4 linked regions of the Stegostoma tigrinum genome follow. The main gene of each other region encodes a partner of the protein of the gene in region 4 in a complex. Links are inferred from orthologs where the notes say so. Each region holds a gene or a part of one and is shown on either strand. Other genes may lie near its edges. The genes, in order: amot, smad7, smad3b and nedd4l.

Region 1 (7,851 bases), on a different chromosome or scaffold from region 4:
ACTAAGTCACCTCTCAACCTTCTTCTCTCTAATGAAAACAGCCTCAAGTCCCTCAGCCTTTCCTCATAAGACCTTCCCTCCATACCAGGCAACATCCTAGTAAATCTCCTCTGCACCATTTCCAAAGCTTCCACATCCTTCTTATAATGCGGTGACCAGAACTGCACGCAATACTCCAAGTGCGGCCACACCAGGGTTTTGTACAGCTTCACCGTAACCTCTTGGTTCCGGAACTCGATCCCTCTATTAATAAAAGTTAAAACATTGTATGCCTTCTCAACAGCCCTGTCAACCTGGGTGGCAATTTTCAAGGATCTTTGTACACGGACACCAAGATCTCTCTGCACATCTACACTGCTAAGAATCTTACCATTTGCCCTGTACTTTGCCTTCCGGTTACTCCTACCGAAGTGCATCACCTCACACTTGTCTGCATTAAACTCCATTTGCCACCTCTCAGCCCAGCTCTGCAGCTTATCTATGTCTCTCTGCAACCTACAGCATCCTTCGTCACTATCCACAACTCCACCGACCTTAGTGTCATCTGCAAATTTACTAACCCATCCTTCTACGCCCTCATCCAGGTCATTTATAAAAATGACAAACAGCAGTGGACCCAACACTGACCCTTGCGGTACACCACTAATAACTGGACTCCAGGATGAACATTTCCCATCAACTACCACCCTCTGTCTTCTTTCAACAAGCCAATTTCCGACCCGGTGTGGATGTGTTGGACCAAAGGGCCTGTTTCCACACTGTTGGGAAACTAAGAATACTCGAGCTGTGGACTTGAACTGAAGCCTTATTTGCAGAGTTAAAGAGCAAAATAATATCATCAGCACTACATTACTTGAACTCAAATGCCTCAGAAACTGGGCAGATGAGAGAACCGTTAGCTCTCCATTGCAGGTGTAAGCCTGGTCATCAGGTGTGACATCCTCTCAATGTTGTTGTACGTGGCACAGATCTGGCCTATTCCCCAAGCCTGCATCGCTGCAGTGACCTAAGCCGCCATATACCTCATTTGGAGGTCTAAGATTGATCGAGTCCAAAGGGACACCGTGTATTAAATGTGTTGGGGTTGGGGGCGGGTTAAGAATGAATGCCACCCTCATCCTGATGGCCACCTTTCTGTGTGTCTATATCAAGCTGCGCTTAGACCCTCAGTACGCAGATATTTTGTGTCACTACGTTCTGAGATTTTACCTGTCCATAGTGTCACGAAGGATGGGTCAGGCCTCGTCACCACAGCACACTCCAAGTAGTTGGACCATCCCATATGACCTGTCCCTCATGGATAAATTTGTGAAAGAAAACACCTTTGACCACAAGTCCACCAGGAAGTGGTCAGCACATAGAATCCTCAAGACACTTCAGGAAAAGGAGATAGTTGATCTTGTCGGGTAGTTCCTTGAGCAGACTGTCAAAGCCTTTTGGAAGAATTCCTCATTGCCAGAACTTTTCAACAAGCATCAAGACAACAGCTTGGCTGGTGGAGAGAAGGGCACTAGCTGCAAGATCTTTCATGCACGGACAAATCCTCTCAAAGCGGTTCCAAGAGGATTGAGGCTATCTCCCATCTCCTTCTGGAATGTGGCTATGCAGAGGAAGTCTGGAGAGAGATGCAGAGGTTTTTGACGAGGCTAGTCCCAAGCAGCTCCATGACGCAGGACTCTGTACAGGATGTACACCAAGACAAACATCGACCATGCCTGGAAGACCATCAACTCAGTGAAAGACACCCTGTGATCTGCCCAAAATTTGCTGGTCTTCCAGTGCAAACTGTTAACCCTGACCGAGTGTTGCAGCCGCATATTCCAAGGTCCAGGACTATGTGCTGAAGGATGCACTAAAGCTTGGGACAGCTGCCACCAAGGTGCAGTAGGGAATGACCACCACAGTTTCTGCCAAAATACAACAGGGGCCCGTTGAGTTATTGGACACTCCTGATGCCTCAAATACATGTCAGTAGTTCCAACTACTTTCCATAATTAAGAAATGCCTTTGGATTAGTTGTACCTAATATGAAAAATCAAACTCCGATGTTTATTTTCTTCTCCATACGCAAAAACTTTAGTGATCAGAACTACTTCTGTAACTGTGTATGTACATAAAGATTTATTTTTCTTAGTGAATAAAGTACATCTTTGCAAAAGAAAACCCTACAATGTTAAATGCTGCTAATCCTATTTGTTCCATGATGTGGACTGGGGTGGACAAGGTCAGAAGCCACACGACACCAGGTTGGAGTCCAACAATATGCATCGGGGCTTAGATTAAGATATTGTAGCATTCTTCCATACACATAGACAGGCTTACAAATTAGATGAACATCTAGTTTACAAAGAACCGTGTAGTTTTTGTTGCACCATGCTCATTTGAAAGTCAAAACCTGGGTAAGAATTTGAATTTTGCTTGTGTTGTTCTTGGTGGCCGCGGTGGGGCAAACTCAAGAAAAACAGGGGAGACAGTAGAATGGGAGATGGTGCTGAATTCAACACAGCCCGCTGTGCTTTAAAATGAGCTGAAGCTCACTCAGGATGGTGAATGGCAAAGATCAGTGTTTTAGCATCAGACTGGGCGAAGCAGGAGCGGAGATTTACAACGTTAGACGTGAAGTAGTGAAACAAAGGTTCATTTTACATGTTACTTCACCATTTAATTTGGAAATTAGAGAAGAGGCATGTAATCGTATAATACGTTTGCAACACAGATACGCTGTCATCATTTATATTGCGAGTTAATAATTTTCTCTCCACATGCAATTTAATTGAAGCCTGTTCTTTGTTAGGTGTCCGGCCAACAGAGGAGTAATTCCCTGCCAAACGTTAGCTATATTTCTAAATAGTTTTACGAAGCAATTCACCCTTTCTCGAAAAATAAATGACTTACTGTTGAAATATTCTGCAAACCTTTCCGTGCTCCCCCCTCTTTCACCACCATTTCCAAACTCAACGTGACGAGGGAGGGGAAAATAAAAAAAACCTTTCTCCAGCGTCTTTCACCTGCCGGCCCCGCTCGTTGTTTCTACGCTTGCGCTTGGTGGAAAATAAAACCAAGGTGCAGCTTGGGAAGTGTAGTCGTTTGGTTCCCATGGATTAACCCGTTTCCCTGCCAGGATCAGCTCGCCTGGACTTCAACTTCCAATGGGCTTCGCACGACGCCTGCAGAGGCACTTCGGCTGGCTACGCGGCGCGAGAGAGGCGGGGGTGCCCCCGATGCAAACAGGTGACATTGTGGAGTATGTTTCACCTACCTTTAAAAATGAACTGAGAATCAAATAACGTCCTTGTTTCACGCGTTAAATAAACGCATATGAATTTAAAACCCATTCGAAAAAAGCAAAACAATGTTCATTGCTCAAGATCCGAAACAAAAAGAGTGTGGGGTTGGGGGTCTGGCAGCATCTGTGGAGGGAGAAACAGAGTTAATCCTTGGACTCCAATGTGAACTTCGTTCAGAAGTCGTTTTGGACTATAATTATCTCCGTACATGCTGAGTTTTTCCAGCACATGTTTTATTTCGGCTTGATCCAAATAAAATCATAATTCAACAACACAATCCACCTGTAAATCGTTTAGATTTGTTCAAACAAGTTGAAGAAACAAGTTTTTTTTAAATTCCTAAAGTGTCACCTCTGAAGTCAATTTTTCTCGTCCATGCTTGGTCGCTCTCGTAGTTGCTACTGGGAGCTTAAGTATATAACTGTATTCTGTGTAATGAAGATAATCCTTCTATATAATTAGACAGTGCATTCCAGGATTTTGACTTAAAAATGAAGGAACATTTGAGGGTGAGGCGGAACTAGAGGAGAATTGTTTCACCTGCTTCCCTGGCCTCTCCCAGTTGTAAAGCAGGTGGTTTAGGAAGTCTTGCCATAACATTTCAGATGAATGATTGGTGTGCATACTGTGGGTAATACACAACATAGTCAATGACGTAGAAGATTGATATTTAAGTTAGAGGATGATGCTCTGATCAAATAGACTAGCCTGTGCTTAGCAGTGAATTACTAGAATATTAATACAGATACACTACACCGTGCTTAGCAGTAAATTACTAGAATATTAATACAGATACACTACACCCCAAATAGGGAACCTGATTTGTGCACTGCAAATGGTTGAGAATGATGTGAGCTATTCACTGCAAAATACACGGCTTCAAGATGCTTATGTGGCTGGTCTGGTTAAGGTTTTGGACAATGATGGCCTGGAGGATGTTGATTCAGTCAGAGCAATGCTGTTGAATAAAACCTTAAATATCAAAGAGAGATAATTGCACAATTTGCTGTTGGAATTAGTCAATACCTGCATTGGTGGGGTATGTTTTGCCAACAGCAGGGTATCCTTACCTGATACAGTAATAGTTGTGTCATCCTTCACAACATAAGAAACTAGTACACAGAAAATGTGGCATTGAAAGATCCAGTGGACATTCATTATAACTCTTTGGTTACAATGAGCAGCATGCTTCCATCAGAGTCTCATACTTTAAGTAGTCCAAGTTAAGACAATAGACAATAGGTGCTAGAGTAGGCCATTCAGCCCTTTCAGCCAGCACCACCATTCATTATCATCATGGCTGATCATCCACAATCAGTATCCTGTTCCTGCCTCATCCCTCCTGCCTTTGATTCCACTATCTTTAAGAGGTCTATCCATCTCTTTCTTGAAAGTATCCAGAGAGTTGGCCTCCACTGCCTTCTGGGGCAGAGCATTCCATATATCCACCACTCTCTGGGTGAAGAAGTTTTTCCTCAGCTCTGTTCTAAATGGCCTACCCCTTATTTTTAAACTGTGCCCTCTGGTTCTGATAGAGTCCAAGAAGTTTACACCCTCAGTTCACATACTATGAGACAGTGATGAATCAAGATCGTTTCCCTTATCAGGTATGCTGACATGCTACCCGTGAACCTAATGCAACATCTTTTTCAAAGATAAAAAGTGATCTCAAAAAGAAATACAAGGTTGTACATAAACAGGTTTGTCAATTAGGTAATTACATGAACAGGTATAAACAGAGTTTACAAAATTAACAATTCAGAGTTCAATATAAAGCTTTGGAGGTTTGACAACTTGCGCCGATCTGGTGATCGTATACCCATGTGGAGAGGTACATGTTTTATTTGTACTCTGTTTTATTTGGTTGTAATTTTCCTGGTTACTGTTACTCAATATTGCTGCACAATCATCATCATCATCACAGTATTCTTCCTCATTCTCATCATACACGATTGGTGTGTTGTACATTGTTCGAGCTGGCACATATTCTTTCTCAAAGTAGCACCACGAGCCGTAATGACTTCACATGATCTGGGCCAGTTGCACGATTGAAACTATTGCTATATTCAAGTATATGTATTTCTAAGTCATTCTCTGTCCACTGTGTAATTGTGGTATTTCTCTACTTGTTCACTCATCATTTATCTCTTTCATTCTCCTCTGTCTTTGAAGAAAAATATTGTTGTCATGGAATGATTAGACAATTGGGTACTTGGCAAAGTTACATGGTACTTGCCTTCCAAGCATATGCTGTGGTGGGGTTGGTGATGGCTTCGCCATTGATGCTGTATGAAGATGCACCAACAAAATGTGAAAAACTTGTTTCCATACTTGATCATTGATTTGGCAGGAAGTACTACACACACTGCTGGACCATTTAAATGTGAGGTGATTACGTGATGTGGTCATTCCCCACTTCATACATGCCAGTGAACTGCAGCCCATTGTCAGATGCTATCCATTCTGGAACACTGAATAAATAAAAGTAAGTCATTATATCAGCAACTGTTACATTTAGCATGTTGCTAAGTCATCAAAGAATGGAATATTTACATAAGTAATCTGTCATCATGAGGGTACAACCTTCCCCATGCACTGTGAACACGCCTGTGGTTTACAGACCTGGGGTAGTTCCTACCCTCCTCAATGGCACTTCAAGGCACTGGAGCAATACCACCAACACTGCTTGCAAAAGATCCTGCAAATCTGCTGGAAAGAATCAGCATTCTCAAACAGGCCAACATCTTGACACTGACCACCCTTGATCAGCTATGATGTGCTGGATATCAACATGAGCAACAAGAGACAAACAGGTGCTCTATTCCCAACTTCAAGAATGGCAGGCGAACCCCAGGTGGACAAAGGAAATGCTTCAGTGATACCCTCAAGGCCTCACTGGTGAAGTGCAGCATTCCCACAGACACCTAGGAAATACTGGCCCAAGAACATCTAAAGTAGAAGAGCATCTGGGAAGATGTCAAGCACCTGGAGACTTGCTGTCAGGTAAAAATGGAAGTCAGGCAAAAACAGTGAAAGGAGCGCACTACCACACCAATGCCCCACCCACTCCTTCCCATGAACACCACCTGCCCTAAGCATAAGGGAACCTACAGTAGCTGCATTGGTCCATTTAGTCACCTACAGACTCAACCAAGAGTGGAAGAGAGTCATCCTCATCTGCGATAGACTGCCAATGATGAATACATCTGTAAACTGACAATTAGCAATAGAGTGTTTTCAATATGGCAATGTTCCAACCAGAGTGTATTTGCCAGCCACTCAGAACTCTCCTCTTATGCAGTATAAATATTAATTTGTACATGAATCTGCATTCTTGCAAAATGTCCTGATAAGTGGAAGAAAACTTCAGCAAAACATCTTTTTTCAGCAATGTTCAAATTCAAATTACCAAACAACTATTTGTACTACGTACTTGTCTAATTGATCATTTAGGACAGATTATTCTTGCAGAATATGCCAAGTGCAAAACTAGGCTAAACGTTTGTACATTTTTCTCTTCTGACAGAACAGTGAACTGGCTGCTCGTTTTTGGTGGATGATGATCAATTTAGCAGATCACTTCAAGCTACAGCTATATCTGTTTCTGGGGCACAGGTAACCTCACAACATTGATTAGAAAAAGAACGGACTCGAACTACTTTTAACCATTAAAGGTGGGCCTGGAGAGAATTTTTCCAATTATTTTCCCCTTCAATTAGCAGTGGTTTGTTTTTGGTTCTGAAAAGAGTTTTTTCTACTTCTCCCAAGAAATCATATAGCTTCAGTGGGGTTGAGGTGTACATGTGTTGTGCTGCATTAACCATTATACTTAAATGGATCTCATCTTTTGTTGCCCATCAATTCTCATTTTTGTAAATAAAGCAAGCTGGGTTCAGGTGTTTGTGGAAATTAATCATATAATCAGGATTTTGTTGTCCTTCTTACCCAATTGAGCCATGGAATTTTTATAGCACAGAAAGAGGTCTTCTGGCCCATCAAGTCCAAGCCAGTCATCAAGCATCTAATTTTAATCCCAATTTACAACACTTGGCCCACAGTCTTACATGCTATAATATTTCAAGTGCTCAGAACACCCTTGCAGTGAGTTCTAGGCATCCACCAAACATTGGGTGTTAAATATTCTTCCAGTCTCTGAACATCCTACTACTCAGCTTAAATCTGTATCCCCAATTTTTCATCCCTCTAAGCTTCTCCCCATCTATACCCCTCAAAACTTTGTGGACTTCAATCAAGTCCTCCAAGTGCCTTGTCTGTTCCAAAGAAAAAAAAACTCTAGCCTACCTAGTCTTTCATTATAGCTGAAACACTCCAACCCCTTTAGTGTAATTACATCCTTCCAATAATGTGAATTCCAGAACTGCACAAAGTGCTCCAACAGTGCCCTAAGATACTATTTGTACCCAGTATCTTATGGTGGAAGTAAGAGCACAGAAGTTGATCAATAAAGGCAAATATCCCACATGCTTTCTTAACCACCTTATCTACCAGGTCCACAGCACAGGAAAAGAACATTTGGCCCAATCGAGTCTGTGCCAGTCAAAAA
Region 2 (6,921 bases), about 7.8 Mb from region 4:
TATTCTAAATGTGGCCACACAAAGGATTTGCATAAGGTAGAGAATAATATTGTTAGTTTTGTATTCAGTCAGCCTAACTATGTGCTACCAGTTTGCTCACTGTGACACTGCGCAAGTCTCCTTTAGATTTTCATGAACCCCTGGGTCTCTCTGCCACCACACAGATTGTAGAGGGTTACGATTCATAGCTTGTCCGGCTCTTAGCAAGATGGTTACAATGCATGCAGCATTGTGAAAGACATTTATACCGGGACACAATGATCTAAATTAGCCCATAATCTTCTTCTTGTTTTCATTTAAAGTCTTATAATTTAGACCAGGATCATGCTAAGTATCTCTATTTCTCCGAGTCTTCCTCCTCTAATTCTGACCTTGTTCATATCCTAATTTTCTTTACAGCTGTGATGTCAGCTCTTTAGGGTCTAAGCTCCGTCTTCTTATCTCTCCTCTCCTTTAAGATGCTCCTTAAAGCTGCTTCTTTCCTCCTTGTTAATATTTCCTTACGTGGCTTGGTGTTAAATTTTCTTTGATGACATCCCTGTTAAGAACATTGGGTGATTTCCATGTTAAAGGTACAAAAAATGACCCAAAGCTATTCAGTGTGGAGCAGGAGGAACACAGCACGCCAGGCAGCATCAGAGGAGCAGGAAGGTTGATGTTTCGGGTCGGGACCCTTCTTCAGAACTTCCTCAGTCCTGAGGAAGGGTCACCAGATCCAAAGCGTTAACTCTGATTTTTTTCTTCACAGATGCTGCCGGACCTGCTGAGCTTTTCCAGCAACTTCTGTTTTTGTGAGACAAATGGCATGGTCCAGGATAGTTTTTCATCCATCAACACTGACACTGTGAAAGTGAAGGTTGTTAATAGCTTCAGGTATCTAACCTCCATGATCACCAGCAAACTGTCACTTGATGCTGAACTCAACACTTTTTTTTAAATCACTTGTGGGACCTGAGTGTTGCTTTCTTGGCCAGGATTTCTTGTCCATCCCTAGTTGCCCTTGAGAAGGTAGTGGTGAGTTGCTTTTTTGAACCACTGCAGTCCATGTGATGTAGGTAGACCCACAATGCTCTTCGGGTGGGAACTCAGGATTTTGACTCATCGATAGTGAATGAACAATGATATATTTCCAAGTCAGGATGGTTAGTGGCTTGGAGGCGAACTTATAGGTGGTGGTGTTCCCATGTATCTGCTGCCTTTGTCCTTTTCGATGGAAGTGGTTCTGGGCTTGGAAGATACTGTCAAAGAATCTTTGGTGACTTTGTGCCATGCTTCTTGTAGATAGTACAAGAACACGTAAGTAGAAAAATGTGAAGTAATCTGATATTGACCTAAAAAGAGATCAAAAGACTGGAAACAATAAAGCTTTTGAGAGACTTGAGGGTCCAGCTACACTGATTATTAACACACGAAAACAAACATTGCTGGAGAAACTCAGCAGATCTGGCAGCATCTGTGGAAAGAGAAACAGAGTTAATGAATCCAGTCCAGAGGTCCTACTTCAGAACTGTTTACAGCCTCGCTGAGTTTCTCCAGCAATTTCTATTTCTGCATGTTTCATATCTCCAGCATCCTCAGTTCTTTGTTTTATCCACAAATCATTAAAGTATCATGGGCAGGTATGAAAAAGGCTGAAGGAATGCTGGCCTTTAAACCCGGGTGCTTTGAATATGGGGTGCTTAGAGTCATTCTTCAACAATACAAATAGTGTGGAACAGCATCAGTTTGGACACTAAGCCTTAGCAAGGATCTGGTATAATTACACAATTTAAAAGGCATCTGGATGGGTGCATGAATAGGAAGGGCTCAGATGGGCAAAATGTTGGGAACAGGGACCAGATTAATTTAGGATATCTGATCGTTATGAATGAGTTGGACTGAAGGGTCTGTTTCCACCCTGTACATGCTATTCCATGTTCTTTGACTCTATTGGCCTTGGAAGGATTGCCATCTAGGTTTATTGGAATATTGCTTGGTCTCCAACAGTTCAGCTACAGGGAGAAATTAAATAAACTGGAGTTGTATTTCTGAAGAACAATCATAGCGGATTCAAAACATGAACTCAGTTTCTTTCTGCCCAGATGCTCCTGGGCCTGCCGAATTTCTCCAGCATTCTCTGTGTTTGTCATTAGGGTTGCATTTCCTGCAGTGTTGAAGATTTAAGTCTTCACTGAAACTTCCAATATGTTACAGAAATAGACAGGATAATGCAGAAAAAACTATTCCTGCTGGTGGGAGTCCAGAAATTAGAAAGAGTTTGAGGAGTGAATTTATGAAACTGGTTTCCACATAAAGGATATTCAAAGTTTGTGGAACTCTCTTACACAAATGATAATTGATGCTAGGTCAATAATTAATGTTAAATCTAAAAATGATGGGGATTTATTGACCAAAGGGATTAATGGAAATGGGGTAGACTTGGTCTCATGACTATGATAACACTGAACAGCTGAATATCATCGAACAGCTAAGTAGCCCACAACTAATGCCCCTACTCTGCTTAGCTGGCATACAGTCTTGAATGCACAGTAACTCCTCCCTTTGGGAGAAGGGAAGCTAAATGGTGTAACACAAATTCAAATTGTTGTTGGCTTCTATATGAAGATCAACCAATTAATTGAAATATTTTGAATCCCCTCATAAGAATACCACTTTAAAATCTACAGCAGAAGTAGGTCATTCAACCCATTGAGACTGCTCTACCATTTAATGCTAATCTGATAATTCTCAACTCCATTCTCCTGCCTTTTTCTCATAACTCTTGAATCCCTTACTGATTAAAAATCTGTCTCAGGTTTGCATATCAATGGCCCGTCTTTGACTGCCCTGTGCAATAAAGAATTCCAGGGAACCACCAACTGAGAAGAAACAAAAGTCATCATTTTGGTTTTAAATAGATGACATTTATGTCCTCTGAGATTATGTCCTCTGGTTCTGGACTGTCCCTGGAAGGACTTCTCCACATCAACCCTGTCAAGCTCCCTAAGAATCTTAGATGGTTTGAAAAGGTCTCTTCTCATTCTTCAAAGATTTAAAGAATACAAGCCCAACCTACGCAATTTCTCAAGTCAAAATCCCCCCATACCCGATTCTACCTAGAGAACCTTCTCTGCACTACCTCCTATGCCAGTTTATCTTTCTTAGATAAAGGACCAGAACTGTTCATAGTATTCCAGCTGTGGTCTGACTAGTACCTTGTTTATTTTAACAGGACCTCCATTCTCTTTGAAATAAAAGCCCATAATAGTTCATTTGCCTTTCCTACAATCCAGGGAACTTAGATGTCAATTGGCGAACATGAGACTTATTTTGCAGCCCTAAAAAGTGGAAATTATTCTCGTTGATCTATGGAATTGCAGTAAGATTATTAGTTTCAAACCTTCAAGACAGCCCTAGAAATTCGACACACAGCTATCCCACCTCTCTGTCTCTCTGTGCATCAATATCACCCTGCAATAACCTCCACAAGGCAGTCTTGCTCGAAGGGCCTGTTTACCTGTTTCTGTGGTGCTTTGACAGGGGACGCAAAGCTGAGAGAAAAACGAATGTCAGGAATGTTCAGACGAGAATCTGGATGGAGCAAGTTGCAGTTCCCAGAATTTCCCGGACTGATTTTCCTCTCCCATCACACAGCAACGCTCACTACCCCGCCACCCCCCCCCCCCAAATAAAAACACAAAACAAAAAGAAAATGGGTAGTGTGCATTGTTGCCGTGATGAAGTGGCTGAATGTTGCCTGCAGTTTGTTGTACGTGTTTTGGGGGTTGGGGGCGACTGGCTTCTCAGTAAAAGGGGCTGTTCGTAATGTGATCGCTTGTTTGCGTAACAATCACTTTAAACCGGGGGCCGCGACAAAGTGTCTAGACACACACGTGACCGACCGCGCCAATGCGCAGCCAAAGCAAGAGCTTGTAAATTTCAAGCCTTGTGTCAGTTTCAGCCCGGAGTCCGGAGCACTCAGGAAATCCACCAGCAGAGCTGCAAACGGAGACAACTTTCTCTTGGTTTTTTTTATTTTCTTTTTCCTCACCCCCCCACCTCCCTGATAAATCGCCGCATTTTTTTTAAAAAAAGAATATTGTTGGAGAGAGGTATTAAGTTAGTGAAAGGCAACTGGGAAAGAGAGAGAGACAGAGACAAGCAGGCGCACGTACAAGTCAAAGCAAAGAGAAAGAAAGAGGAGACTGGAACGGATTAGAGACACTGCATGTGTATCTATAATCGTTGAAAGGAAGAAGGGAAAACGAAGGAAGAGAGCTATCTCGACAATCATCAGAATCGCCGGATTACGGGCTTGGATTAAACTGTGGCCCCAAAAAAGCCAGGGAAGGAACAAGAAGCGAACGCTTGGGTTACATTTTAATGGATGCATATTCTTGACTACATTTTCCCTACTTTATGCCGGTGGGTTACAATGCATGATTGTATCTGTGACCCATCCCCCCGTATTTAATTGCAGTATTGTTAAAACCAATTTAACCGGATCTTTTATTTTTTAACCTGCCTAAAGATAAGGGGCTGGCGTATGCTACAGATTTGTGCGGCTGCTGTTACTGTGTTGTTGCCATTAAGAACAGGCTGGATTCATGTTTTGCGGATATGTTTTTTCTGTACCTGGCTGGGTTTTAGCGAATTTCTCTCTGGCGGATCGTCGTCTCGTATGTTCAGGACGAAACGATCGGGTCTGGTGCGGCGACTTTGGCGAAGCCGTGCATTGGGAGAAGCAGACGGCCAGACGGATAAAGAGGGCGATGCAAGCCGAGGAGGGGGAAGAGGAGGCGGGGGAGGTGGAGGTGACGGAGGTAGTAGCAGCGGCAGCGGAGCCGGGGGATGCTGCGGGGCTAAAGCATCGAAAGCGAGCACCTCGGACCCCGAGTTAAAAGCCCTCACGCACTCGCTGTTGAGGAAACTGAAAGAGAAACAGTTGGAATTATTACTGCAATCTGTGGAGAGTAAAGGGGGAGCCCGCACAGGATGCCTCCTTTTGCCCAAGATGATTGAGCCCAAACTAAGCAAACAAACTTACTCCTTGCCGGTACTGATCTGCAAAGTCTTCCGCTGGGCTGACCTGAGGAACTCCTCCGAACTGAAAAGACTTTATTGCTGTCAATCGTACGGAACGAATAGCCCGGATTCCATCTGTTGTAACCCGCACCACCTTAGCAGACTCTGTGAACTCGGTAAGGTCTTTCTCAATGATCTGAATGCTTCTTTTTGAACGGGCAGTAACTGAAAGTACTTTTTTAAATTTGGAAAACCCGAATTTTGTGACTTCTGACTGTTGCAGTCTACTTGGGCCACCTCGGCGCCTCCATTTGTTATAAAAGTCCCACTAGGATTTACAATAAAGTGGCGGATACTGTTAAACATCCAGAGACCCTGCCTGAAGTCCTTCTGCAAATTTAACCGGCCCTCGCTTTATTCACATCCTTAAAGGTGTCCCTTTTTTCACACAAGAACTCCGTGAATCTTACATTTAAAAAAAGACTCACCATAGTAGATTTGATCTAGAAGTTTCATCATGCTATTTCATGAATGAATTCTTTTTGAGAGTAAAGCTGTGGTTATGTCGCAACATTCTCTGCTAAAATTCGAGTTTGATCCCGGATTAGTATTAACTATAAACGGTCTAGTTTACAACTGAATTTTATTCCATACTTATTCAGAGTCAGCGTTACTAATAAAGAACATGCGCTGGTTTGAAACTGCCTATCAATCCAAACATTACTGAACAATATTCTCCCTACTCAACTATGTAATTATGCCGTCAATTCAAGTGTTGCCTAATAATAATTACTTCTCTATATTTGCATAGATTTTCATTCAAGATTATGATCTGAATTGAAACTTGAGTTAGATCGAGAACGAGGGTGGGGGGGCGAGAAATTACAGATTTTAAAAAAGTCATTCCATCGAAATGTTTCTGGGAATTGTCTGAACCTCAAAAGTTTGTCGTTTAAATTCACATCCCTGTTAAAAGGGAGCAGGAGTAAAGTTATTTCAAACACCCTATAAAGCCTGTCAGATGTATCAATCAAGTAACTAAAAGTTCTTTTGGGGAAAGAAGAAAAAAGTTTGTCTAGAAGGCTTGTCGCCGCGGTAAATGGGTGATTTTCCAGTTAGATGGCGCGGTCAGATCCTCAGCCAGACTGATTCAGTGTAATTTCCAGAGCAGAAGTGGTTTACGTGAGCCAAGGAGGGGCGATTAGACACACAAGTTGCATATCAGTGAGACTGGCGCCAGGCTGACTCTTTTGTTTATGTGACTGTTAACTATCAAGGCAATCGCTGACTTTGCTGCGTTGCCTCCAGCCCCCAGAGCTAAGACAAATAGTTTGCGAAAGAATGCCGGCTCTCCTGCCAGCGTTATCATCAGTTTCTATCTCTTTTCTCATGGCTTTGACTTTTTTTCTCTCTTTTAATGTTTTCAGAGTCACCCCCGCCTCCCTATTCTAGATTTCCAATGGACTCATTCAAGCAGCCTGGTAAGTACAGTGGTGTTTTCGTGTTATTTTTCGAATTGTAATCCAATTGTTTTTCTATGTAAACTGAAAACAATTTCCTTAAAACTTTCCACCCTGCCCCCCCATCTGCTTAAAGCATTTTACTACCTGTGTAGAGGGGAAAAGTTGTGTTTTTTTATGTGAGCTCTAAAATATTTGATTTTTACGTTTTGAAAGGTATTTCCAATGAGTCAAACCTTGAAGACAGGAAAGTTGATAGCAGCTTCCATCAGGAAAGGAGCATGATTCAGAACTGATGTGGGGCATGGCTAGAAAGTTGAGCCTGTAGGGGAAATTTAGGCTGGCTTTTCAGCTTTTGGTGAATGTAAGAATTTTCACATGGTATAATTAGAGTAATAAATACACCTCCATGTATAACTCATGACAAGACATAACGTGTTTAGTTTCCACACAAATT
Region 3 (8,015 bases), on a different chromosome or scaffold from region 4:
AGGTCTGGAGGAGATTTACGAAGATGTTGCCTGGATGAGACATTTCAATTTGGTGGAAGGGTTTGAATCATTAGAACGATTTACCTCAGAGCAGAAGTGGTTAAAAGGTGGCTTAACAGCAATTCTTGAGACGCTGATAGATTTCAATAGTGTAAATTATTCCCTCTTTAGTGGGTCTGAAATCAGCAGCTAACGATTGCAAGGACAGAGGTGCAGAACCTGTTGCTATTTAGAGAATTGTCTAAAAAGGTGGCATAAGCTGCTTCTGTAATAACTCCACAAAAGCCGGTATCCCATCACCAAGTCACCCTTTGTTTACAGATGAACAATTCTTGTGACACGCAACCTTTTATTTTCAGCCAGAGCTCCCTGATTGCGCCAGATTAACAGCCCCAATTACAGAACTCATTTCTATGATGTCCAGCTGACTGACCTTGTTACAATATTTCAGCTTCAATGAGTCATTTTGAAAAAGGACTTGTACTTGACGAACATACAGGCTTATAGATAAAGAACAGGAGTGTGGAACTGAGCATGGCTATTTTTTCAAGGGGTCAGCACAGACATGAAGGACCAAATGCCCTCTATTTCTATTGTTCCAAGATCTATTCTATTAGTGGGTGTGATGCTCTCCTATTGATAGTGAGTATGTCAATCATATCAAACGTCTGGTGAAACAACAATGCGTGTTCTTTAGCAGAAGATTTTTTTTCAATGAATTCACAGGTTGAAGACATCGCTGGCTGGCCAGCATTTATTTCTCATCCCTAGTAGCCAGGAGGGCAGTTAAGAGTTAACCACATTGCTGTGGTCTGGAGTCGCGTGGAGGACAGAGCAGCTAAGGATAACAGTATCCTTCACTAAAGGACATTACTGAATCAGATGGAATTTTCCTGACAAAATGTTTCATGGTCATCATTAGGCTCTTAATTCCAGAAATTTTTATGAATTCAATTTCCATCATTGCAGGATTCGAACCTAGATCCCCAGAACATTACCTCATCCCATGGATTAGCAGTTCAGTGATTTAATACCACTAGATTAGATTAGATTAGATTCCCTACAGTGTGGAAACAGGTCCTTTGGCCCAACAAGTCCACACCGCCCCTTGAAGCATCCCACCCAGACCCATCCCCCTATAACCCACACACCCCTGAACACTACGGGCAATTTAGCAATTTAGTCCACCTAATCTGCACATCTTTGGACTGTGGGAGGAAACCGGAGCACCCGGAGGAAACCCACACAGACACGGGGAGAATGTGCAAACTCCTCACAGACAGTCGCCCGAGGCGGGATCGAACCCGGGCCCCTGGCGCTGTGAGGCTGCAGTGCTAACCACTGAGCCACCGAGCTGCCCGAAATGATTCTAATGTTCTAATGATTCAAACCCTTCCACCAAATTGAAATGTCTCATCCAGGCAACATCTTCGTAAATCTCCTCCAGACCTGATCTAAAGCCTTATGAACAGCCTTTGAGATAAAGTCTCTTCCTAATTCAGTGCTAAGCTTGATCAATTAATGACTGAAAGGATAACTAAAAATCAGGAAGTGAATTATCTTGATTTTTTTCGTCTGAATAGCAACAATCGTTTATATATTGAACAAAGAGTCATTGGAGTGCTCTATCACGTTGTGTCAGGACTCACCGTTTTGTCATTTGGCTAATGAATTCTGCCAGGGAGAAGGATGTTTTGGTAGTAATGTTAGTAAATTAGAGAGTAGTTCCATGCTGTAGGGTTATGGGTTCAAGTTCCATTTACAACAGTTGGAATACAATACTGGTCTCAGTGTTGCTGACCATATAACCACCATTGATTTATTATGTAAAGATTAGTTTGGATCCCTTCAGGAAGAAAGCCCTCAGCTGGTCTGGCCTGCTTGTGACTCCAGACCCAGAGCTATGTGGTTGCACTCTGGAAAGGCCTTCCAAACCAATTAGTTCAGGGACAATTCGGAATGGACAGCAAATGCTGGTCCTGATCCATTAAAATAAAAATAACTGCATGTTGTTATTAATCTGGGAATAATTCTAAGAGATTGAGGCATGCTTTAATTTAAGTTTACACAGGGCAGCACCATAGGAATACCCTGATCTATCAGCTTAGATCTTCTATATTTTTAGAACAAGTCAGATGCGAGGATTAGTTTAACATTGATATGATGGACTTTACCTCTTACAGTACAACATTCCCTCAGTACTACCTCAAAGTAGCGGTCTATATTTTAAACAATTATTTAATGAGATGTGGTCTTCCCTGTCAACACTAGTATTTATTGCCCATCCATAATTGCCCTTAAACTGAGTGGCTTGCTAGCCAATTTCAGAGGGCAGTTAAGAGACTGTGGAGTCTGGAGTCACATGTAGGCCAGACCACGTAAGGATGGCAGATTTCCTACCCTAAAAAATGTTAGTGAACATGATTTTTAAAATATATTTAATTGGTACACAATCCCTATCAGACTAGCTTTTAATTGCAGACCCAGATTTCATTCTATTTAACATTATCCTGACATTGGGGATTATTCCAGAAACAGGATCTGTTCTCTACTACCTCCCCTTTTGAGTGTAGATTGTGGATGTACATTTTAAGATGTATTTGAACTCAGAAGGCAGGAACATTATCAACGGAGTCAAGCTGATAAATATGTATTTGGTTTAAGGGACACTTGAAGAGAAAGAAACACCAACCATTTGAGACAGTTAGTCTATGAAATAGAAAAACAAGCTGTAAATCTTTTAAAATAGGCTTCCTGTAAGCAGTAGTTAAATAAACAGTGGGTTAAATGCACACACACACACACACACACACACACAAACGCACAGAGAGGAAAGTTAATGTTTGCTGGCTTTAAAATGATTCTAAATGCCAGGAAATCATCCTACCCTTTAATGGTATTCAATCAAAGAATTCGCATTACTCACCAAAATATACGTCACTTGAGCTAAATGCTGATCTTCTGCTGGTATATTTTAACTGGAGCAGAAGTGGTTGCTTTAAGTTCTCCTCAGCCTGCTTTTCTAAGAGCCGCCTCACCGCAGATAAACGTCACACGATAAACATCCATTCTGATTTGTGTTTTAGTCATCACAGGTCTTTTTTTTTAAAAAGAAGCGTGAGCCTTTCAAGTTTCTCCTTCTGTTTGTGTCAGTGGTATACTGGAGTTTATTTCTGTCTCTCTTGCTTCAGCACAGAATGCTGCTTACAGCAGCTGCCCCAGTATCAGCTCAACTCTCCCTCTGCTTTATGACTAAACAAGCCAAAATTCCAGTAAATTCACACACTATATGCTCTTTTCTCTCTTTCATACACAAAACTTATGTTTGTTGCCTTTCCTTTTACCACATTTCTATAATTCCAGACAGAAATCAAGTATCAAACAAAACTCATTTTTCCAATTTTTAGTTGGTAATTTTCCACAAGATGTATTTTTGATAGTACAGATGGATGTATTTCTAAATCTCAATTAAACCTACGCAATTATTTCACAATGCATGTCAAGAAACATTTTTAAAATCCGTTTTTTAAAAATAGAATGTCACCTACCCTTTATCCTTCCTGACCTGCTCCAGAGACCAGTCCCAGCAATTTCTGTCATTACTTAACCAGTGACATTAACTGTGGCTCTGTAGGAAACATTTCCAGGTGTGAAGCAGAAGGTTTAAGTCCCACACTATGAAGTTCTGTTTGCGGGGGGGAGTTGGTGGGGGAAGATGTCTAAGTGAATCTGACTTGAGTTGGCATTCAAAATCCTGCAGCCTGATTTTGTTGAATTCCTTTGCACTTCTATCAGCAGGTGTCCGTTTTAGCCCACAATCAGCACCAGAAAACTCAGTCAGTTGATCTTTGTAAGATCGTTCGTCTGTGGGATCTTACTGTGTAATATGTAGCTGCCATGATTCCCACAACTGAAGACACATGAGGACTACACTTCAAAGGTAACATCACTTTAAATCTGCTTGGCATTACTCCAAAATTGTGAAAGGTGTTACATAAATGTAAGTCTTTCTTCCTTTTTTCAACACAATCAATCTGCATGTTAAAATTCAAGCCTACTCTTCGTAAACAGGCCAAAAACTAGTTAAAACCTGTCTAAAGCTAGCAGCTGGGAACCAGCTTCATCAGCGCTCAACAGGATATGCATATAACTGGTGATGAACATTTACATCTGACCACAATGTTCTAGAACTGGCTTCTTCTGTCCTTGTGACATTGGCCAACTTCACTTCTACCTCAGAGGTAATAGGAACTGCAGATGCTAGAGAATCCGAGATAACGAGGTGTAGAGCTGGATGAACACAGCAGGCCAAGCAGCATCTTAGGAGCAGGAAGACTGATGTTTCAGGCCTAGACCCTTCATCAGAACTCATCTGCTGCAGAAACACTCAGGCTGAATTCTGTTACATTCATACTTGACTACTCTGATGACCTCCCAAGCACCCTCTGGTCTTCAATGGTAAGATATTCGAACAGAATTAGGCCATTCAGCCTGTTGCTCTGCTCCACCATTTGATCACAAAGGATGCAATTCTAAACCTTACTGTCCTGCCTTCTCCCAGTAACTGTGGATCCCCTTGCCAATCAAGAACCTGTCTATCTCAGTCTTAAATACATTCATTGACTTGGCCTCCACAGCCTTCTGCAGCAATGACTTCCACAGATTCACCACCTTCTGGCTGAAGAACTTTATCTTCATCTCAGATAAAACGGTTTGTCTTCACTCTGAGGCTGTCCCCTTGGGTCATAGTCTCTCCTACTACTGGAAACATTTTCTCCACGTCCACTCTATCCAGGCCTCTCAGTATTCTCTAAGTTTCGATGAGATCCCCCTTATCCTTCTGAACTCCATTGAGTACGGAGTCCTCAACTGCTCGTCATATGACAAGTCCTTTATCCCTCGGATCGTTCTTGCAAACCTCCTCTGGACTCCCTCCATCACCAGCACTTCCTACCCTAGATGTGGGGCCCAAAACTGCTCACAATATCCTAAATACGGTCTGATCAGAGCCTTATACATCCTCAGCAGTAACATTTCTGCTCTTGTATTCGAGCCCTCTTGATATGAATGCTATCATTGCATTTTCCTTCCTAAGTGTCACCTGAACCTATATGTTAACCTTAAGAGACTTAACCTTAGCTAAGACTTCCAAGCTCCTTTGTACTTCAGATTTTGAAGCCTTTGCCCTTTTAGAAAATAGTCTATGCTTCTGTTATTCCCATCTAAGTGCATAAATTCCACACTTTCCCAAAATTATTCCATTTGCCATTTCTTTACTCACTCTCTTTGCGTGTCTCAATCCTTTCGCAGCCTCCTCTCTTCCTGTCCCTGCACCTATCTGTTTTCCACCCCTCATAACCCTGAGTTCAAACAAAACTCTGTTGCTCTGGTCCTCAGCCATACTAATTTTTTTTTCCTTTATTCATTCACGGTATGAAGGTGTTGCTGGTTAGGCAGCATTTATTGTGCCTGCCTAGTTGCCCAGAGGGCAACCACATCGCTGTGGGTCTAGAGTCACGTGTAGGCCAGACCAAGTAAGTGATAATGGGAACTGCAGATGCTGGAGAATCCGAGATAATAAAATGTGAGGCTGGATGAACACAGCAGGCCCAGCAGCATCTCAGGAGCACAAAAGCTGACGTTTCGGGCCTAGACCCTTCATCAGAGTGAAGGGTCTAGATGAAGGGTCTAGGCCCAAAACGTCAGCTTTTGTGCTCCTGAGATGCTGCTGGGCCTGCTGTGTTCATCCAGCCTCACATTTTATTATCTCAGACCAAGTAAGGATGGCAGTTTCCTTCCCTAAGGGCATTAGTGGGCCAGATGGGTTTTTTCCAACAATCAACAATGGATTCACAGTCATCATTAAATTCTTAATTCCAGATGCTTATTGAATTCAAATTGCACCATTTGAACCCCGGTCCCCACAAAAATGTTGCCTGGGCCTCTGGATTGACAGGCCAGTGATAAAACCACTGGGCCATCGCCTCCCCTGGAAGTCCTGGTCATCATCACAAAAGATAGATATATTTTATTCACTTGTGGAAGTGGGCGTCGCTGGCTGGGCTGGCATTTATTTTCCATCCCTAGTTACCCTTGAGAAGGTGGTGGTGAGCTTCCTTCTTGAACAGCTGCATACCATGGTGTTAAGTACACACGTAATTCTGGTTGGGAGGCAATTCCAGGATTTTGATGTAGCAGAGCCATGATCTGGTCAATATCGCATTTCAGTGTGTGAGCCTTTGCTATGAGCAAACTGGCTGCCATGTTTCCGGAAGTACAGCAGTGACTACACCTCAAAAGTAGTACAGTGGCTGAAAAACACACCGAGATACCTGGTGACCTTGAAAAACACTATGTAAATATAATTCCTCTTTCTTTTCTAACCAACATCTCAGCAAAATCTGATCACTATAATATTGTTAATTGTGAGATCTTGCTGTGCTCAAATTGTGTGCTGCATTTTCCACATTTCAATGGTGACTATTCATTTGCAGTACCTCATTAGCTTTAAGGTATTTTTATAATCCATGGGGCTGAGCAAAAATGAGTCTCGTAAAGAAACCTCCACACTAACATTTCAACAGTAGCTCATTGGCTGTGGAACAGTTTACTTGGGATGAAGAAAATATTATTGAAACAGTGTCTTTCTTCCCTCTTCCACCTTCCCTTCAATTATCAAAACAAGCTCATAACCTGAAACTGAACATAATGGATCTCACTCGGTCATTCTAGGACAGAGAAGGATAATTCCAGGCAGTTCCAACTTGTTAGAACAATGAACAGTTGTTGAAAGAGGGGTTAAAATTGTTTCAGAGATAGTAGGAACTGCAGATGCTGGAGAATCTAAGATAACAAGGAGTAGAGCTGGATGAACACCGCAGGCCAAGCAGCATCAGTGGAGCAGGAAGGCTGACGTTTCGGGCCTAGGCCCTTCTTCTGAAGAAGGATCTAGGCCCAAAACATCAGCCTTCCTGCTCCACTGATGCTGCTTGGCCTGCTGTGCTCATCCAGCTCTAGACCTTGTTATCTCAGCAGTCGTTGAAACATTGCTGAAATAAAATACTGTAGGTGTTGGAGTCTGTAATTAAAAGAGAAAATGCTGCAAACATTCAGAGTCTCGGGGAGGGAAGATAATGTTCATGTTTCTGTTTGATGCCGTTTCATCAGGATGGGAAGGAGTTAGAGGTTTTACATATTATTGGCAAGTAGAGAGACAGGGAGAGAGGAATGTTGTGAGGATGGAAGATAAGGATAGAATAAATGACAAAAGGGGTGATGGTGAAAGACAGAAAACAAGTTGGTAGAGGAGCAAAAGTTGGGGCCGGAAGTTAAATTATTAGAGCAGAAACAGGGAACAACACCCACTGTTCGGGGAAACATGAGTGTTGGATTAGATATAAAGTTGCGTATTTGAATTATTAGGCCAAAAGTCTGAAAGGTGCCTTGAAGAGAGCACTGCATTTATGCCGCTCGCCACTCCTCAAGGCTGTACTGTGTCTGCATGTAACTATAGGGGGTCCCCAACTGACAAACATCTGGCTTATGAACATTCACACTGACGAATGCTATTCCATACAGCGGAACAATTTTAAAGACCCAGCATATGAACATTTTCTATACTTACGAATGGCTGCTTTATATGGTCATGCACTGTGTTCTGACTTGTGCACACATCAACTTGCAAACAGACTTACCAACGAAACCTGTTCACAACCCAGGGAGTGCCTATATTTGGAACAGCACCTGGTGATTGCCCAAATTATGTCTTCATATTATTTCAGGATGGTGACAATTCAACATCTAACCACTTCCCTCCCTCTCCTTATTTTCAAAACAAACGCTGAAAAAATAGCTGTTTTAATATCAAGGGCAGAACAGCCCTGATTGTGGCTGTAGTGGCCATTCTGATGCTGAACAGTCACTTTCAAATCAGAATGTGACATTTGGACATCTAAACTAATCTAGCTGGATAACTGGCAGGATCAGACTGCTCAGTAGACATTGCATGAATTTAA
Region 4 (7,478 bases):
TGGGCTTGAAATATTTCTCTCCACAGATGTGGCCAGATGTGTTTCAACAGCAATTTCTGTTTCAGTTTCTGATTTCTAGCAACTGCACTGCTTTGGCTGTTTTTTTTGCCAAGTGGATGAGTTGCATGTTACTTATAGGTCACAGGTTGATAGTGCACTGAGTACAGAGTTGGGAGGTCATGTTGTGGCTGTACAGGACATTAGTTCAGCCACTTTTGGAGCACTGCATTCACTTCTGGTCCCCCTCCTAAAGGAAGGATGTTGTGAAACTAGAAAGAGTTCAGAAAAGTTTTACGAGGACATTGAAAGGGTTGGAAAGTTTGAGCTATAGGAGGAGGCTGAGTAGGCTGGGGCTATTTTCTTGAGAGTGTCGGAGGCTGAGGGGGAAATCTCAAAGATTTATAAAATGATAGGCATGGATAGAGTAAATAGGCAAGGACTTTTCTCCAGAGTGGGGGAGACCAAAATTAGAGGGCATAGGTTGAAGGTGAGAGGAGAAAGATATAAAAGGGGCCTAAGAGGCAACTTTTTTTTTACACAGATAGTGTTGCATATATAGAATGAGCTGCCAGTGGAAGTGGTGGAGGCTGGTACAATTACAACAATTAAAAGGTATCTGGATGGGTACACGTGCGGGAAAGGTTTAGAGGGATATAGGCCAAATGCAGGCAATTGGGACTAGATTTAGTATATCTGGTCAGTATGGTTGAGTTGGCCCAAAGGGTCTATTTCCATGCTGTATATCTCTGTGACTCAATCACTCTGTAATTCAGCTTTTAAATATTCTTTAAAGTGTACATTGTACTTGTTCACAAATTTTTGACTGTGAATTAAATACTTGCTTCCATCACATATTTGACAAGCTAAGAAAGGCCGTTCTGGAGCATTTTGAAGATGAAACGTTTTGGCAGCGGGCTGGCACGGCTGGGGAGTATACTCTGTATGAAATACGTTTCAATTTGCACTTCAAAGAATACACAATGTAGTGCTACTCTTTTTAAGCCTTGAAACTATGTTCATCTCTCCTTTGTTCTGGATCAGCAGCAGTTCTGCTGCTTATGGAGAGGCAGTCATGTTTCACACATAACTCCACTGTTCCAATAGGAGCTGTAAGTTTTTATTAGCTTATGCGCAACGTTGGAGACTCCAGGATCTGGAAGGCATGTTGTTGATTGGCCATGCAGAAGTGTTTCCTCTGGCAATGTTTCCTCTGCTGGATTTAGATGGCTCCTAACAGAATCTCAAGCTGATCCAACACATTAGCTTCCAGTTAAGAAAGGAGGGTTACACAACAGCACAAACGGACTGTGCCCGTAATACATGTGACTAGACAGAAGTAGAAGTACAAAATACTATTTTTAAAAGATCAAACATTCACAGAATTAAGATTATGTAATGACTATTAATTCAATTTAATTGAGTTAGGACTATGAGCGTCCTCTGGACACAAAATCTCTCTTCCTTGACTTTTTTGCTTTAGTTCATATTGTTTCCATTTTTTCTAAGTGCTTGCCACTGAGCACTACAAAACTTAAGTTTAACTGAATTCACTGAGTGTGAACTGGGGGATTGAATTGCATGCCTGATATACACCCTGTTCAACTTTGCTTTTTATGAACTTGCAAAGGGAAAAACATCGCTCAAATAATATTTTCGTTTCATTTTTTCTTTTACAGGAATAGCGGAAGGAACATCTGCAGCCCCAAATTGTCTCTGGGCCAGAGCCAGTAGACAGTAAAATTAATTCTCTTATTCGTCTCAAGTAAAAGTATGACACCTGCTAAGACAGACCATAAGTCATGTCTTCCATCAGACACAGTAAACACAAACGATGGGAAAAGAGAGAATATGCTTGGTGCTTTACATTCAGCCAACTTCCAGCTGCAAACTATTTAAACAGTTCATAACAAAAATGCTTCTTTCAGTTTCTTCTACCAAACTGAAAAACACAAACAAATTTGTTGTGTGGTGCAGATTTATACTTGAGGGAGGAAACCTGTTTCTACGCCATATTTCAAAAGAGCACACAAAGGCATTAAACACCAACTTGTGTGATTTCAAGCCTGCTTTCTAAACTGGTGACATAGCTTACTTGTCTATACACATCTTGTTTGGAAACATATTAAGACAACTCCTGCAGATTCACTCCTCAGACAGACAAACCACAATTTAAGAAAATAAACCAGAAACCATTCATCTTTAAGTTATAGCATTGTCAGAACTTCATTTTATGCAGTCTCACCTCTGAAACCAATTGTATTTAGGTCCCACACCATAAATCCAACCCCTCACCCAACCCACTTTTAGCCTCAAAATAGCACCCCCACACACAGTCTAAGTGACAGATACACTTTTGAACTGGTTACATACCACAGAGTCCTCTCCGGTGATTGAATTCATTCTTGTCTGAACACAACCACCATTATCCCTTATTGAGCCTTCATTCTGCTCTTCAGATCCTCGGGTTAAAAGAATTCGAAAGTGTGGTTGCCTCTGATTTCGCTCCTGTCTGATTTTAAACTTACAGGACTGTGTTTGCGGCAAAGTGCCATAAGTGCCGCAAAGCATGTCTGAATTGTTTTCCCCAGTTAGTGTTCCTGCGAGTTGCTTCCTTCTCTCAGCAGCACCAAAACACTCAGCATTTCCCTTAACTGGAAAGGTGGCAGAGGCACTTCGCCCCAGTCGTACATGTGGATGCCTAGCTGCTTGCTCATCCTTTGTGCATGCTCGTCCCCTTTTGAAATCCATCCAGGAGTCCTGGACACCTTTGCACTGTTGCTGGAGCTGGAAGACAAAACAAGATTTCCCCATGTTCCCCGCCATGTACGGCTGATGTTGTAAAGACCAACGCCTAGTTACAGAGGCATGAGCTTTTGGACGTCCATTACGAGTGAAAGATGAAAACTGCATTTGATCTATTTCTGTTGGCGAGCAGTGTTGAACAGGTACATCTCCAACCTTTAGATCAGAGGGAGACCCATTTGTTAATTCATCTTGACCAATACTGCATGGCTTTTGTTCCACAGGAAAAAGAGAGCTTATTGTACAATTAGATGGAACATTTCCAATAACCTGTTGTGATGCAGCCATATTATAGGATGGGGGATCATCTGTGTTTCGAGGGACACTTGGAAGAGAATGGCTCCTAGAAAATAAGCCATCATTGTTGCCAACTTCCATTCCAAAGTCTGGTAACGGCTGTTCCAGAGACTCCGAGACACTGGTATCACCATATCCATTCATAGGGTTGCGCTGCAACGATATCTGCATCGAGGAACTCCTGGTGGGTCGTGACTCAGAACTGTGCAACTGAGGAATGAACATGGAAGAGCTGCGACTCAAGGAGGTTTGATCCTGTAAAGGCAGCACAGCATCGGACACAGGCCTAGGCATATCCTGGAAAGGATGAGGGGCATTCCTCCTTGGCAAAGTGTGGAATGTCATATAGATGTCATTTTCTCTCTCTTCATCTAACATCTCCGATTCTGGATCAGTGTGACTCCTATTTGATCCAAAGTAAAGGCGCAGTCGATGGGCCATAGTTTAACACCAACAGCCCAGTTTAAAATACGAGAAGAGGAAATCACACTGCCAAAAGCATATTTAAAGAAAGCAAAGAGGTAAGCTCGAGAAAAAACTGTCCCATCTGCCAAACGGTTAGCACTGAAGCTTGACAGCGACAGATAGCAGAAATAGCCCAAGTGACAGGCAGCATTCCAGGCATGATTGGATAAAGGCAATCAGTAGTACTACACAGTATAACATGGGGTAGGGTGGTAGCAGTCACATGATGCAACTCCCCTTCCAATGCACAGCAGAAATTTTTTTCCCAAAGGCAGCAAGTGTCTGAAACAGTGCCTTCACAGCTGCTCCTTTTCCATCAAAGGGAGCAACCCCAGCGGGAAAGCACATGCAGCTGACCAAAGCAGCCTCCATTTACCACAATAAATCTCATCACACGACAGCAGAATATTTTGAAAGACAGAATATAAAGGCAATTACAAAAGCTCTGGAGAGCTTACAGAATCTGTGAAATATTGATGTAACTTGTCTAAATACGAGAGCTGGTTTCTAAAACCCTACTTCCATAAGCTAAGACCAAAACAAATTTAATGATTACACTAAATCCAATTTTATAGCTGCTCTGTGAGCAAAAACATACAGCTGCTTTAAACACAGCCATGAAAGATCTATTTTCAGTCAGGGGAAAGCTCAAGAAATACAGTTTTATTTAAAGTTCAGTATAATAGCCAATTAAGACAGATATACTGTTAACTATAACTCATATCTGTTGGAAAACTGGCAGAAGGTAATACAGTACTGCAATACTAATAGAAGATTTTTTAAAATTGGCTGTCTTATGCATGACCAACTTTATGCAAAGATATATTTTCTCACACACCAACAACTTTAGTTGTCTAAACTATCCAAGGAGGAGGAAGCTGTTGCCAGTTGTTTCAACATGGGGAAAGATGACGATGGAAAGCCAGGTTGGAATGGGTTAGATTTCTTTTAAAGGCAGGTAGAAAAATAAAACAGTGCAGAAATGACATGGGGAAATGGCTTTGAGAAATGACCTGCGGAAACAGACAGCCCTGCCACCAAACAAAGATTGAGGGATTTAGCCACATTGGAGGCTGAAACAGATACACTGAAATATGCACTGTATGGCTGTTAGAGGTTGTATAGCTAACACATACAGAAATGGAGCGGCACTGCAGGCAAGGACAAAATTATAAACAAAATGCATCAGGACAGGAGATAATGTTGGAAAATATGGATGATAAGATGATAGGAGATTTGGACTCTGTGCAAACATGGACGCAGATTATTGCACTTGAGACAACAAGGAATTTGTAGTTAATAGACGATGGCATTTCAGGCAATCAAATGTCAAAATAATCATGCGCAGAGGTAGAAAATATTTTGAGGGCTTTGGTAACGCAGCAACTTAGAGAGAAGTAATACTGAGGATGTGGACAACAATGCTGAAGTTGCAGATTTCTTTTCAATTCCGAGTTCTGGCCAATAACAATGATGAAATCAGAGACAAGTCACCAAAGCTTACTTCAAATGCCAAAAACAACGGCATGGGCATTCCTACTATTCAGGTCATAGAAAGTGTGACTCATTCAAGATCTAAATAAGTCATTGAAATATGAACAGAATTGACAGATATGAAGTCAATTGTCCAGTCTAAGTTTTGATCACATGCCTGAAAATGTCATTGTGAAGAAAAGAACGTACATTTATTTGGTTCCTTTCAGGATCACCAGATAGTTTAAAGCTCTTTACAGTTAATCAAGCACTTTTCTGAATTTCAGTTATGTAGGAAACGTGGGCTATTATATATACAGCAAGATAGTGTAAACAGGAATGTGATAATGAACAGATAACCCGTTTTTAAGTTATGTTGACTGAAGAATACATAGTGATGTGGACAAAAAGGATAACTGCCTTTCTTCCAAGTAGTGTCACACGTTTTATTATCTGAAGGAACAAACAGCATGATCAAATGTGTAGGCATCCCTCAGTGAAGGATTAGAGTACCACGTAATCATGTTCAAGTAATCAAGTGTGACTTGGTGAATCCAGACCTTAATAATAGAGAAGCCAGAGCCACAAATGACACAAGGGTAAGCAACTTTTTAAGCTTAGAAGCAGAAGAGGTCCAAGGATTGAACTTTAGAAAACTCAAAGTGGAAATGTGCAACTTTATCCAAGAACTGAACTATGTCATAATATAACAGCTACACTAAGAACACACACATTTGGAAACTAAGACGAAATATTAGAGGAATATTGCACAGCAAACGCCACATGAAACAGATATGATGCAGAATGTTGGTGCTATAAATCCAAAATCATGGAAGATGTCATTCACAATTTTGGTGTAGGTTATTTTGACATGGTGTAACAGACACAAACAATACCAAAGTTGCAGAGGAGACAGGAAGCTGATAATGCGAATGCATGGTTAACAGTTTTCACAGGAAAGGGAGAGTTGGCATACAATAACACCTGGCCAGGCTCATTACCCAGTACCAAATCTAACGTGGCTTCGCCCCTTGTTGGCCTATCTACATACTGTGTCAGGAAGCTCTCCTGCACACACTGGACAAAAACTGACCCACGGATACAGCAGGGACAGGAATTGTTAACATAGAACGTAGAACATGACAGCACAGTACAGGCCCTTCGGCCCTCGATGTTGTGCTGACCTGTCATACTGATCTCAAGCCCAGCTAACCTACACTATTCCATGTACGTCCATATGTTTATCCAATGACAACATAAATATACCTAAAGTTGGAGAATCTACTACCGTTGCAGGCAAAGCGTTCCATTCCCTGACTACTCTCTGAGCAAAGAAACTACCTCTGACATCTGTCCTATATCTTTCACCCCTCAATTTAAAGCTATGCCCCCTCGTGCTCGCCGTCACCATCCTAGGAAAAAGCCTCTGTCTATCCATCCTATCTAACCCGCTGATTATTTTATATGTTTCTATTAAGTCACCTCTCAACCTTCTTCTCTCTAATGAAAACAGCCTCAAGTCCCTCAGCCTTTCCTTGTAAGACCTTCCCACCATACCAGGGCAACATCCTAGTAAATCTCCTCTGCACCCTTTCCAAAGCTTCCACATCCTTCTTATAATGCGGTGACCAAAACTGTACACAATGCTCCAAGTGCGGCCGCACCAGAGTTTTGTACAGTTTCACCATAACCTCGTGGTTCTGGAACTCGATCCCTCTATTAATAAAAGCTAAAACACTGTATGCCTTCTTAACAGCCCTGTCAACCAGGGTGGCAACTTTCAACGATCTGTGTACATGAACACCAAGATCTCTGTGCTCAACTACACTAAGAATCTTACCATTCGCCCTGTACTTTGCCTTCTGGTTACTCCTACCAAAGTGCATCACCTCACACTTGTCTGCATTAAACTCCATTTGCCACCTCTCAGGCCAGTTCTGCAGCTTATCTATGTCTGTCTGCAACCGACAGCATCCTTCGTCACTATCCACAACTCCACCGACCTTAGTGTCGTCTGCAAATTTACTAACCCATCCTTCTACGCCCTCATCCAGGTGATTTATAAAAATGACAAACAGCAGTGGACCCAACACCGACCCTTGCGGTACACCACTAGTAACTGCTCTCCAGGATGAACATTTCCCATCAACTACCACCCTCTGTCTTCTTTCAGCAAGCCAAGTTCCAATCCAAATTGCTATATCTCCCACAATCCCATTCTTCCGCATTTTGTACAATAGCCTACTGTGGGGAACCTTATCGAACGCCTTGCTGAAATCCATATACACCACAATCGGTTTACTCTCATCTACCTGTTTGGTCACCTTCTCAAAGAACTCAATAAGGTTTGTGAGGCACGACCTTCCCTTCACAAAACCGTGCTGACTAACCCTAATCAATTTATTCTTTTCTAGATGATTATAAATCCTATCCCTTATAAC

The links.
Region 1: the proteins of nedd4l (region 4) and amot are in contact, whole or in part, in a crystal structure (PDB 7LP3), measured with the Homo sapiens proteins. The link is inferred for Stegostoma tigrinum from reciprocal best matches to the Homo sapiens genes NEDD4L and AMOT. Residues at the interface, in NP_001138439.1 of Homo sapiens: Lys202, Asp204, Leu206, Arg208, Tyr210, Val212, Asn213, His214, Arg217, Thr218, Thr219, Gln220, Trp221; in NP_001106962.1 of Homo sapiens: His235, Arg236, Gly237, Pro238, Pro239, Pro240, Glu241, Tyr242, Pro243, Phe244, Met247.
Region 2: the proteins of nedd4l (region 4) and smad7 are in contact, whole or in part, in an NMR structure (PDB 2LTY), measured with the Homo sapiens proteins. The link is inferred for Stegostoma tigrinum from reciprocal best matches to the Homo sapiens genes NEDD4L and SMAD7. Residues at the interface, in NP_001138439.1 of Homo sapiens: Arg394, Asp396, Lys398, Arg400, Tyr402, Val404, Asn405, His406, Arg409, Thr410, Thr411, Thr412, Trp413; in NP_005895.1 of Homo sapiens: Glu203, Glu205, Ser206, Pro207, Pro208, Pro209, Tyr211, Ser212, Arg213, Tyr214, Pro215, Asp217.
Region 3: the proteins of nedd4l (region 4) and smad3b are in contact, whole or in part, in an NMR structure (PDB 2LB2), measured with the Homo sapiens proteins. The link is inferred for Stegostoma tigrinum from reciprocal best matches to the Homo sapiens genes NEDD4L and SMAD3. Residues at the interface, in NP_001138439.1 of Homo sapiens: Glu392, Glu393, Arg394, Lys398, Gly399, Arg400, Tyr402, Val404, Asn405, His406, Arg409, Thr410, Thr411, Trp413; in NP_005893.1 of Homo sapiens: Glu178, Thr179, Pro180, Pro181, Pro182, Gly183, Tyr184, Leu185, Ser186, Glu187, Asp188.

The regions. Positions count from the first base shown.
Region 1 is NC_081368.1:25,793,425-25,801,275, forward strand, and holds the start of amot (angiomotin), read right to left. Parts: upstream 3,016-7,851; 5' UTR 2,896-3,015; intron 1-2,895.
Region 2 is NC_081354.1:159,815,593-159,822,513, forward strand, and holds the start of smad7 (mothers against decapentaplegic homolog 7), read left to right. Parts: upstream 1-3,910; 5' UTR 3,911-4,525; coding exon 4,526-5,180; intron 5,181-6,431; coding exon 6,432-6,485; intron 6,486-6,921. UniProt on the Homo sapiens protein: Antagonist of signaling by TGF-beta (transforming growth factor) type 1 receptor superfamily members; has been shown to inhibit TGF-beta (Transforming growth factor) and activin signaling by associating with their receptors thus preventing SMAD2 access.
Region 3 is NC_081386.1:30,933,949-30,941,963, forward strand, and holds the start of smad3b (mothers against decapentaplegic homolog 3b), read right to left. Parts: upstream 3,006-8,015; 5' UTR 2,927-3,005; intron 1-2,926. UniProt on the Homo sapiens protein: Receptor-regulated SMAD (R-SMAD) that is an intracellular signal transducer and transcriptional modulator activated by TGF-beta (transforming growth factor) and activin type 1 receptor kinases.
Region 4 is NC_081354.1:152,024,639-152,032,116, forward strand, and holds the start of nedd4l (E3 ubiquitin-protein ligase NEDD4-like), read right to left. Parts: upstream 3,003-7,478; 5' UTR 2,911-3,002; coding exon 2,371-2,910; intron 1-2,370. UniProt on the Homo sapiens protein: E3 ubiquitin-protein ligase that mediates the polyubiquitination of lysine and cysteine residues on target proteins and is thereby implicated in the regulation of various signaling pathways including autophagy, innate immunity or DNA repair.